Linked DNA regions of Schizosaccharomyces pombe. The gene in region 2 interacts genetically with the main gene of each other region. Each region holds a gene or a part of one and is shown on either strand. Other genes may lie near its edges.

Region 1 (5,246 bases), on a different chromosome or scaffold from region 2:
ACGACGGGGGACAAAAAGATATTCACACAAAGAAGCAGCAGCCATGATAATACAAGAAACAACAGAGGTACAAGCAACAGCAGCCCATTGGGAAGCACCTGTTGGCTTGGGACCATCGCGCTGATGGAAAGGTTTTGTGTAAAGAGTAGGAGAGTTGAAAGCAGTAAAATACCAAAACATACCAAAGTGGATGACCCAAATACGATTGAAATTGGTAATAAGATGAAACCAAGAACGGGATTCATAATAAGTTTTATAAAAAGCACGATTCCATTGAACTTCTGGAAGCCTATGAAAACGCTCAGAAGCAGGAATATCAATAAGACGAGTGCCGTCTTCAAAAATAAGACGTGCTATACCCTCAGCATGCCAGAAAAGTTGGTTAATATCATCGTATCCAATTAACTGGTCATGTGGACGTTCCCGACGTACATATTTCCCATTGATAATTTCAAACTGCTGATCGTGCATATATTGGTAGAGTGGGGAAACAATATTATCCAAGTAATATCCTTCAGGAACTGGTTCAGTGACGTTTTGTGCCTCAGGTGAAATAATATAATCGTAAGCACATTTGAAAAGGAAGGCTATTACCTCAGGCATGAAACGAACATTGTTTGCCTCACCCCACAACAAAAGCCACAATGCAATTTGTTGAGCACGCTCGAATTGAGTCATTGAGCGCATGTGAGATCTCCAACGATATTCGGCGGATTCTAAAGAATCATCGGTATTAACATCAATGTATTCGTCTTCCGCCTCCTCGGGTTGCTCCTTTTTCTTCTTGCGCTTGAAGCGAGACTTCCTTGGAGGCTTAACAACTTTAGGGGCTTTTTTGTTTCGAGAAAAGAACTTTCCTTTCTCTTTGATAGAAGTAACTTTACCACCATAAATGCCAACATTAGCAAGACCGACTGCATCTTCCCGATCCATCTGAGAAGCAAAATACCATTTTTTATAGTTAGCAATATCACTACCAATATAATCGGCATGAAGCGTAAGCAGTGCTTGATCTGGAGTCATGCGAGAAGCACGAGAATCTAAAAGACACATAAAAAAATCATACATATTACGCATGGAATCGCGTTGGAAACCCAATTTATTGGTTAGATCAATGAATATGTCTTCAATCTCTTCCTTAGTTAAAGGGAGTTCGTTTTCAGGAGTCCAGGCAGGATAAGGCTCACGATTTGTGAGATTAGCGCTATCGGCATAGAATGAACCACTATCGCCATCCAATGGGGTACCTGAGCCCGAATTACCAACAAAAGAAGAGTTGCTAAAATCATACGGACTGCTACCGTAAGGCACACTGTTGTAGACGTTAGCCAACGAATCGGAACTAGGATCATAAGCGTTGTATCTACCATCGCCTCTCAAATTGTAAAAATTGTTGGCATCTGAGGGCTGAGCATTGTAATCTGAATACTCAGACTCGTATTCATCTGAAGGACGAGTAAATTTTCCTTTTTCAGTGGAATATTGATTGATACCTGAAGAGGCGGTGTCGACAGGAGTGTATTCATCTCCATAACTTTCAGTTACACCAGTAGGGTAATCATACCCATTGTAACCCTCTCCATACATAGAATCGTAGTCAGCCTGATCCAAAAACTCCTCATTGGAATACGCATCAGCAGGCTGGCGTTGGTATGCATTTTGGTCATCATAAACCTCTGAATCGTAAGCGTACTGATCATCCGAGACAGCATCATGACCAGTAATACCTGAAACATTTTCATTATTTCCAGACATTTTCTACTATGCTTAAAACTTGTAAATAGATTGAGGAATGAGGACTAATTAGAAATATGGTGAAAGGAGTTCCCAGTTAAAGAATAACGAACAGAAAAAAGAAAAGAATGAACAATTTCAATAGGAACTGAAAAGAGGGACTGATGACTTAATGCTTATCCGCTCTTGTAAGCCAAAATGAAAAAAGAACCAATTAATGGATGGAATAAAATATCAGAAAAGTAAAGGAAAAGAAATAGAAATACAAACACTAAAAGAGAAAAGCTTCAACAAACAAGATAAGCAAACTCCGTGAATGATCAAAGTGACTTATCTAAAAGAAATTCACTCCGTTAACAGGTTGAAATGACGATAACCGTATGTAAGGGTGGATAAGCGTCAAGTTTATAAATGGCGATATATGGGTAGATATTAACGAAAGAAAATTTCTAAAAAAAGGAAGGAATTCCCTGTAAAAGACTGTAATGAAAAAGAAAGAAAGGAAATAAAGGTAAGCAGATGATTTGCCAAAGCTTTGAAATAAAATTTAAGTAAGACAAAATCTACTCCAATGCGATAAAATATCAAGAAAGTAATGCACTAACAGATGCGTGTAAAACGGAGAATGCCACAAATGATGAACCCAAAATACAAGAGAAAGGAATATACAATAAATTTTGAAACTCGGAAAAAACCGAAGAGCTCTTAATTTTTTTCACGCTAAAATCACTGTATAAAACCCTTTGCAAACAGTACGTCTATTAAGACAAAGTAAAGAAGGCTCAATGGACAAAGCTCCTAAATACCAATGTCTGTCGATTCAACAGATGAAATGAAGAAGCCAGAACTTTAAGAAAAGAACTAGATGCTGTTGATTCTTGGGGATAAGATAACTTTCTCTCAGTCTTTTTCTTTGATTTAGATATAAAAAAACTTCAAGGGCACTCCAAAAAGAAGGGGAGGGGAAAGATTTTTTTTAAAGCGGGAAAGAAGCGAGAAGAAAAAGGCTGGTGGGTATAAACGAGGAGTATCCGCAAATGATCGTTATTATATGAAATTAGCAATAATAATAATAAAAGAGAAAAAAGGAAAACTTTGAATCTCTCAAAAGCAATATGAAACGAATAAAAGACCGTCAAAGTTCTTTTTACCACAAGGTATAAGAATTGAATAACGGGGAGGTAAAAGAAGAAGTAGAGAAAAAAAAACGATGAAGCAAAAACAAGTCGGAAAAAAAAACCGATGCCTGTTTGTTTTCACAATCAAGGAAAAACTTTTGTTGCAGTCCAGAAGGCAAATGGGGTCTTGCTCTTTTTTCAAAGGAAACTTGAAAAAAGCAGGCCTAGTTGCCTCACACGAAGGAGACTTTAATCGGGAGAAAAGAGAATAATTTAAAAATACGGATTGTTAAACAGTTTTCCCGATATGTGAATCCTATAGACGTTTGTTTTCAACCAAACTTCAGGACTACGCAAACACTTTCGAGATGTGTTGTTGGCGGAGGGTAGTGTTTGGTTCAGGAGAGACGGCTGGCGTACGTTGCAGGACCACCATATAAATCTTAACGAAACACAATAAAAATACTTAAATATTATTAAAAAACTAATATTTAAAAGGGTGACTACTAAGCCATAAAAACCCCAATGGAGAGGAGTATCGAAGTAGTAATCAGATGCAATTTTTATCAAGACAAGCCGGTCCTTTTATAAGCAGCGTAGTTGGTCTTGCTAAGTAATTCCTAATGTTGATACCAGCAGCTCGCAAAATATATGTATCAATTAATAGAAGGAGGGATAGTTGAAGGCAAGAAAGAGACTGCAGAAAACATGAGCTATTGAGATGAATAAAAAAAATTATAAAGTTAAAAAACTGAATGGGTGAATTACAAAAAAAAGACAAGAAAGTAAATAATTAAAATTTGTTTGATATAAAAAATGAGTACGATGGAAGTAAAGTTGTCGAATAATCAAAAAGAAAAAATATCTAAGCAAGAGAAAAATATGCAATAGAAAAACAGATCAGATTTTTTTATTTAAATCGATCGTCTTTCATGAAAAACTAGCTAATATTTAAATGTATTTTATTCAAACCCTCTACGCTTTAGCAGCATTAGCGGAACGAATTACGTTTACCAACATTAGGAATGTCTTTTCATTCAATTTGCACACTTATAAATAAACATCCTGCTGCTATTTTCGTACAATCCTACTATGCACATGCTTTCGAGCAAAAAAAAAAAATAAATAAATTAAAATTAATTAAGTTAACCCTACAATAGAAAGTGTAATTTTTCGGTTTTCACTATAGTGAAATTTTTAGTGACGGTTTCTTGCCATATTGCTAGAATCGTATGTAAAATACTGGATATGGTGTGGGATGGAAGAAGCAAGAAGGTGGCAGAAGAGAAAGTAGATAAGAAGAATGGGATAGAATATAATGGAATCAATGTGTCATTGGAAAATTCTTTAATAGTTCTTTTACGCTTTTTTTTTCTAAAAAGCTTCGAGGTGCAACATTTTTCTTTGACTTACTACCTAGAAACCAAAATGTAAACAATCGGTTATGTACAATGTAAACAAAGGGAAATTTGTTGTAACCATTGATCATCCTCTTTGCTACACCACTGATTGGGAAGAGCTGAATCTACAAGTAACGCTGTACCATTATTTCTATGACAACCGGTAACGGGCTCCGATAGGGTAAATAAACAAAGCTCGCTACGAGTAAACAATTGGTTTGTTTGGAATTGGCATATGGGACCGATAATAGCGGCTGGAAAAGGAAACGGTAGAAAACGTGAAAAGTATATGAAAAGAGCAGGCTAGATGAGATAGCAAAAGGAATAATGGGTAAGATAGATGGAAGAATAGAGTTGAGCGGGGAGAAAGATTTGGGTGGTGGGTAAATGAGGAAAGAAAAAGGTCGAATTATTGGAATGCAAAGGCTGATTAAGCGTAAAAGTTTTAAATCCTTTTTCAATGGCGCAAAAACTAGCCTGGTATATACATGGATGCATATTACCAAGATCCTATAAAAGTCCATTTGAAATTTCGCTCTTTTTTGGCTGTCCCTTCTACTAGGGAAGCGGCCAAAATTCCTATGAATAGAATGGGGAAGATGGAAAGGCCTGGTTCCTTGATATAGCGTGGTTTAATAGAATATCCTAGTAGAACATTGGGTATTGCCACAGAACTCGCAATGCAGAGCGGTGGAAAAATAACCGTGTACGGGAATTGAAAAACCATTGATGGAAATGGATGCTACGGGGATTTTGGAATGCAAGCAATTATAGCGAAGAACCGGAATCACATTAAAAAATCTAAAAAATTCATCAATTCTCCTTAATTAGATACTATACATTCAATCTCTCCATGTATTCAAATCTCTTAAATTGAATTCGTCTATTTCGCCAATTGTCAATTACGTTTCCATACCGTACATTTGAAGTAACGTTAAAAATATTTTAAAAAAACAAATTCATTCGGTTGCATGTTCCGATTCTAGTAGAACGA
Region 2 (5,869 bases):
AAATCTTCTTCATCCACAGCGTTTAAGTTGTGCTCATGAACCTTATGTCCCGTACAATTGTGATGCACAAGCTGTTGAGTAGACTCAAAATCACATTTAGAAGTTATCAGCCTAATTTCACAACATTCAGTAACAGATCTTTTTCGTTTACTATTACAATCTTTAGGGTTTTTGTTTAGCTCTGGCTCTATTGTTATCATGTCATCATCCTAAAGCTCAGTTAATATACATTTACTTCAGTTCAATGTAATATTTCTAATCATTTGCTATAGAATATCATATTTTTTTCATACGTCCGTGAATATATCAGGAGAAGATGATACCTCAATGTATTCTTCAGCCGACATCCATTTAATGAAACTTAGCTTGAAAGCAGCGTACTCAGAATCCTAAAACACCAAGAAAACGAAAGAATATCCCAAAAAATGATGAATATTTAATTTCGATTGTTTTGTTTTGTGTACTAGCCTGAATTTGTCGAAAGTTTTTCGTCCAGTTTCTTATTTTGGTTTAGACAAGTGGCAGCAAAACCAGAATATGCTTGATATTTTAACTCATCGTCTGATAAAAATAACTAAATGGTTTCACAAAAATGCGCAATACGAAAATGAAACAATATTTAGATAAAATCTTATTGATTGAAATGCAATGCTTCGTAAACAATACATAAATTAGAAAATTACAAAAGAGAGAAAAAAGTTAGGTAAAAAGTGTATGCAAAAGATTTATGATTTGAATCCCAATTTTTTTCCGAAAAGAGTTTTCATCTTTTTGGATTCTTTGATAGAGCTAGATGACGACTTGGCGTTTGATTGTTCACTTTTTGCTTTCTTCTTAAACAAATGTAAAATATCATTAGCAGCAGATTTAGACTTCTTTTTTGCTTCAGTAGCAATGTTGTGAGTTATAGTAACAGTTGACCTTGCAGGACTCAACGAAGGCTGCGTAATTCTTTTGGCAAGTTTGGTTGTAGTTGAAACTGGCTCAGAACGAGGAGGAGGAGGAGCTTCCTTTGGAGCCTCACCATCTTTTTCTAAGCAAAACTGAATCCAATTATCAAGGCCCGAATCGTATGCTGAATATTCTTGAATCTTTTGATTGAAAAAGTTGTAACGTTGATCGGTAGAACCTAATTCACCCAATCCATCGAACGACATCAATGGACTCTTGACAAACGCATCTAAGGTAGCAAAGTAATTTAAATTAGTTTCACTATTATCAGCCTTTTTGGAAATTCCAGAAGAAACAGCATCCGCTGAAGCACCGGAGTTAATGCTAGGAGAAGTGGTCGACTGCTGAGTTGAATTATTTTCAGCACTTTTAGAATGAGAAGATAAACCTGTCGTGCTTGTCTTTAGAGATAGTGTGTCTCGTTGATCCTCTTCCTGAACGACTATTTGCTTGTTGGGTTTTGGAGGTTCTGGCAAGGATCCACGGCTTAAGGCAGCAACTTCTAACTCATCTCTATTTAATGGTTCAGAGTGAGACTTATGTGTACTGGAATTACTGGATATTGAAACTGCATCGTGAGCAGCTACCACTTCGACCTTTGTAGTTGTCGTTTCTTCAATTGCGGGAGCCTTTGAGTTACTTGACTCAGTGTGAGAAGTAGTCGCTTCAACAATAGTTGGAAGACTAGTTTTATATGGATATACGTCTTGTTCTACAGAGGCTATTGTATGTTCATCGTCAGATGACCCCTTAGTCCAAAAAGGGTCTTCGGTATTCAACTTGGTAAGAGCTGGATCGGGCTCCTCCGAAAGATAACCATAGATACTTTCCAAGCTTTCTGAGTTTTTCAATAGTGCTCCTTCCTCTAGGGAGTTGTTAGAAACCAAAGAAGAGCGTGGAGATCCAACAACAGAAGCAGCTTGAGGTTCAATCCCTTGCTCGACAGAATTGGGTGATGTATCTCCTTTCACATCAACTTTTTCAAGGTTCGATTTTGAAATATGTTTCTCAGCATTGTCCTGAAGTAGATTGGAATTACTTTGAGTTTTTCCAACAAGGGTATATTTTGACGAATCGACAGGCAAATCGACAGCGCTGTCAGAAAAGCTATCAGGTATTGAATCGATAGAGCTGATAGCATCAAAATTTCGCAAAATACGACTATGAGTACCCGGTTGTTGGGAGAAAGAAGGATCGTTCGTAACTGTCTCAACCTCCGAATTGGTAGCATTATTTTGTTTAAGTGAACGAATTGTGGCTACCTCATCATCCACATCTGAATCTTGTAATCGTAGTTTAAGATTTTCTTCATCCAACTCACCTGAGGGCTGCTTACTAGGAGAATAAAGAAATGGTGAATTTACAGAAGTTATAGATGGATGATGCTCCGGTTTTGAGAGGTTTTCATCCTTCTCCTTTTCAGCATCGATTCCAAAATCGTTAGATAGTGAGTCCGAAAGTTCTTCCTCTGGGTTTTGCTGCGGAGACTCAACAAATGGAATAGACAAGCTATCAGTTGACTTAGTAGTTTGTAATTGCTTGACATGAGTGTCAATATCTGTTCGAGAAAGCTTTTCATCAGGACTAGGTATTTGTTCAAACTTCTCATTTGAATGATTCGAGTGTGAGCTTGTTATAGAATACGCATAACCCTTATTAATAATTTCGTCAGTTGGTTTCAAAATTGTATTAGTAGTCATGTTCGTATCTCCCTCCTCGACTTCTTGAACAACCTCAGATTGCTCAATTGCTTGTTCCGTAACAGGCTTTGAACTAGTTTCCAAAGTAGCTTTTTCACTCGTATTATCCAATTCATTGGCATCATCGTTAGCGGTAGAAACAATATCTTCTTTCACATTATTAGCAATTTCTACCGCCTCGGCAGAGTCCGGCAAAGTTTGCTCCATTAATTCGCTATCTAGTACTGCATGATCGTCATTAGGAGATTTCTTATCGTTCAACGAGGAAGATAGGTTACTAAGCGTGTCCCCAAAGAAGCTGGTATGCCTATGATTAGGTTCATATACGACGCTACGAGTTTTTGAACTTCTGGAAGAGGTAGCCCTGGAAAAATTGGAGCCACTACCAGTCTCTGCAACTGAAGCAAATGAGAATCGGTTCTTATTTGGAGCACGAGCAAATACGTTTGATTCATTGAGCTCTCTGACACTTGAAAAACTATCTCTACCCTTGATAGGAGGTAAAGACTCGGGTATTTCTTCAGCCTTTTTATACCTAGAGAAACTTAAAGGACGGATAGCAAGATCCTCTGCTGGACTTGAAACAGATCTCCTCTTTACATTTAACTCTCTTCGATTTTCCATTTGTCGAATATCCGAGACCCTATTATCATCTTGACTTTGAGGTTGAATGGCTGAAACTTGTGATGATTGAGATGAACGGGTGCTAGAAGATGCCATGGAAGATTTGTAATCAATCGGCTTAGAATTTGGATCTTTTCCTAATTTCTGTAAAAGAAATCTCCTCTTTTCGGCCCATAACCGTGCACTTTCATCAGCGGAGACAACCTTAGTAGCAAGCGTCTCATGGCTACTAGATGCTGCTTTTCGGTAAACAAAAGTGCCAGGGTATGAAAAGTCATAATTCTCGTTCTCACTTTGCTCGCTAAAGCTACTTGCCTCGTTTTCAATATCATCCTCTTCCTCCTCTTCTTCTATAATGCGATCGGTTCCGTCAGAATTTAATTCCCTTTCGGGATTCTTTCCGATATTCTCACTACTGGTGAGATTACTTTCCTTATCCTCACTCTCAGATTCTTCACTACTCCATTCATTACCTTCATAACTTGGAACATTGGAAATCCATCTTCCTGATACGTGTCGTTGCAAGCCTGTGGCATTACTTTGCTTTTGAGCCGTATTTTCTTCCATTGACCTATTAAGTTTTCAAATATATAGTCATGGACTAAAATTCGCTTTTTGTTTACTTATAAAACCGTTATTGATGTACTATTGTTCATGCGTAAAGTTGGAGGTGAAGGGATAGTAGTAGATTGCTGACTACCACATAGTCACTGCATAACATTGACTTCGCCAGCCCCATACGTTAACAAGCACAAGCTTGTAGGTTATTTATTGTTTTAAGCACAAAAATTGTAAGCAAACACCTTTTCAGAATGTAGCAGATATTCATTGTTTTTGATGTGGCTTACGCGTAATCCTAGAAGCGTTTGTTGAAGAAATCAAAGTACTTTTAATATCTAATCAGCTAATAGGAATGATGAACAAATACATCAATCTTCAAATTTAACATATTAGTATTTACAAAAGTGGAAATTTATGATTGCTAACTTCAACAGGCCAATTAATACAATTTACCTAATCATTGTGTTTCAAAACCAACTTGTTTAATTTTTCATTACTCTTAGATTCTTAATAACTTTAATTGGAAAACGTTTCTTGAAGAAGGATCTAATTTGCTAATCCAACTTGGCTTAAGGACTTCCACAACATTCTGTTACCAGCTCTAATCATTTTTTTTTTTAATATCTGACTAATATTTATATGTTGCTCCAAAAAAGGTGTTTTCTGATCCTTTATGAGCAATCGAGATTCAGCAAACCCTCCAGGCTTTAATGACGCGGTGCCCTTAGCTATTTGCTATATTGATTCTTCGACCAGTTCACACGATGAGTACTTAACATTACTTCAAAGCAAAGTTTCTGCTCCAGATAAAAATTTTCGTGATGAGACAGTCGACGGAGCTCCTTTTTTGGCAGGAGATGCTATTTCCAAAGGCCACAGGTATTCACCACCTGTGCGAAGTGATAGAGCATCTGCTCAGGGTTTGTTACAACAACATCTTGAAAAATCAAGCACTCTAGAAAATTTAAAACGATATTCTTCTACTTTGCTCGGTCGGCAAAATGATGCAGTAATTGATGAGCCATTCGCTCCGTTTCGTCCTCCACCAAGAGTTACACTTTCTGAGTCTAGACGTGACCGCTGGTTGCAGGGTTTATCTGATCCCATGGTGCCCTTGTCTTCTCTTATTAAAACTATACCACATGGTCTATGGGGAGAAGATATATTACGAATGTTGGTGAAGTTTCGAGTCCCTTTTACTCGAGCGATATGGTTCATTCGATGCGCTGGAGTAAATGAGGCTCGTTCATTTTTACGAAAAGTCCAGACAACTGATATAACAGAATGGGTTAAAAATTGGACTGATGTTGCAGCGGGATTCTTAATTTCGTTCATTTCGTCTTTTCTAAACGCTGATATTTACTCGTTCGCTGATGATTACACTTACCTATTGAAGCTTTTTGGTCGATTGCTGGCTGAAGAGTTGGTTTCGCCTAAACATTTTCTATTAAGAATTGTTTCCTTTTCAGGGGATTCTTCTTTAAAATCCTTTAGTCTTCACTTTTTTGCTTTACAGTTTTTTTCTACAAGCCTGATCCAGTACACCCATATTTGTCGTAAATGTGTTATCACAATTCTGCAAAGTTATCAACAGTTAATTGTGGACCAGCCTGCTAATCTTTTGAAGTTTAGCTTGCTTTCAAAAAAAGTATCTCATTTTTTATTTACCTTGGCTCAAAAAAATATTGAGTCGTTCTTTTTTCCTACTGAATGGGACAAATTGAAACCTACTATTATATTATTATGGAAGGATTTTCCAAATTATAGCACGCTTTTATCTATAATGCAGGAAAGAAACTCAAAAGCCATGTACATGTACAAACCTGTCACAAGTAGTATTCGCTTCTTGCAAATTATTTCATGTCTTTCCTTTCCAGTGGGTTGGAGAACACTGGCTAAAGATTTGTTTAAACTTTTACCAGTTTATACAGGTGTGCCTCTTTTACTACATTGGTGTATCAATTGCCGTTCTATTTTTTCAGGTGATCGAAATTTCATCGTATCCTCAATTTTTGACAACGCCAATTTTGACA

The links.
Region 1: mutations in rng10 (region 2) and bgs4 impair growth when combined (synthetic growth defect), as found in Schizosaccharomyces pombe (one study listed by BioGRID).

What each region holds. Positions count from the first base shown.
Region 1 is NC_003421.2:2,253,392-2,258,637, forward strand, and holds the start of bgs4 (cell wall and secondary septum 1,6 branched 1,3-beta-glucan synthase catalytic subunit Bgs4), read right to left. Parts: upstream 3,262-5,246; 5' UTR 1,756-3,261; coding exon 1-1,755. Other genes in the region: SPOM_SPCC1840.13 (uncharacterized protein), read right to left, coding at 4,378-4,776.
Region 2 is NC_003424.3:3,118,654-3,124,522, forward strand, and holds rng10 (protein Rng10), read right to left. Parts: upstream 3,956-5,869; 5' UTR 3,843-3,955; coding exon 726-3,842; 3' UTR 566-725; downstream 1-565. Other genes in the region: structure-specific endonuclease subunit Slx4, read right to left, coding at 1-209, 294-347.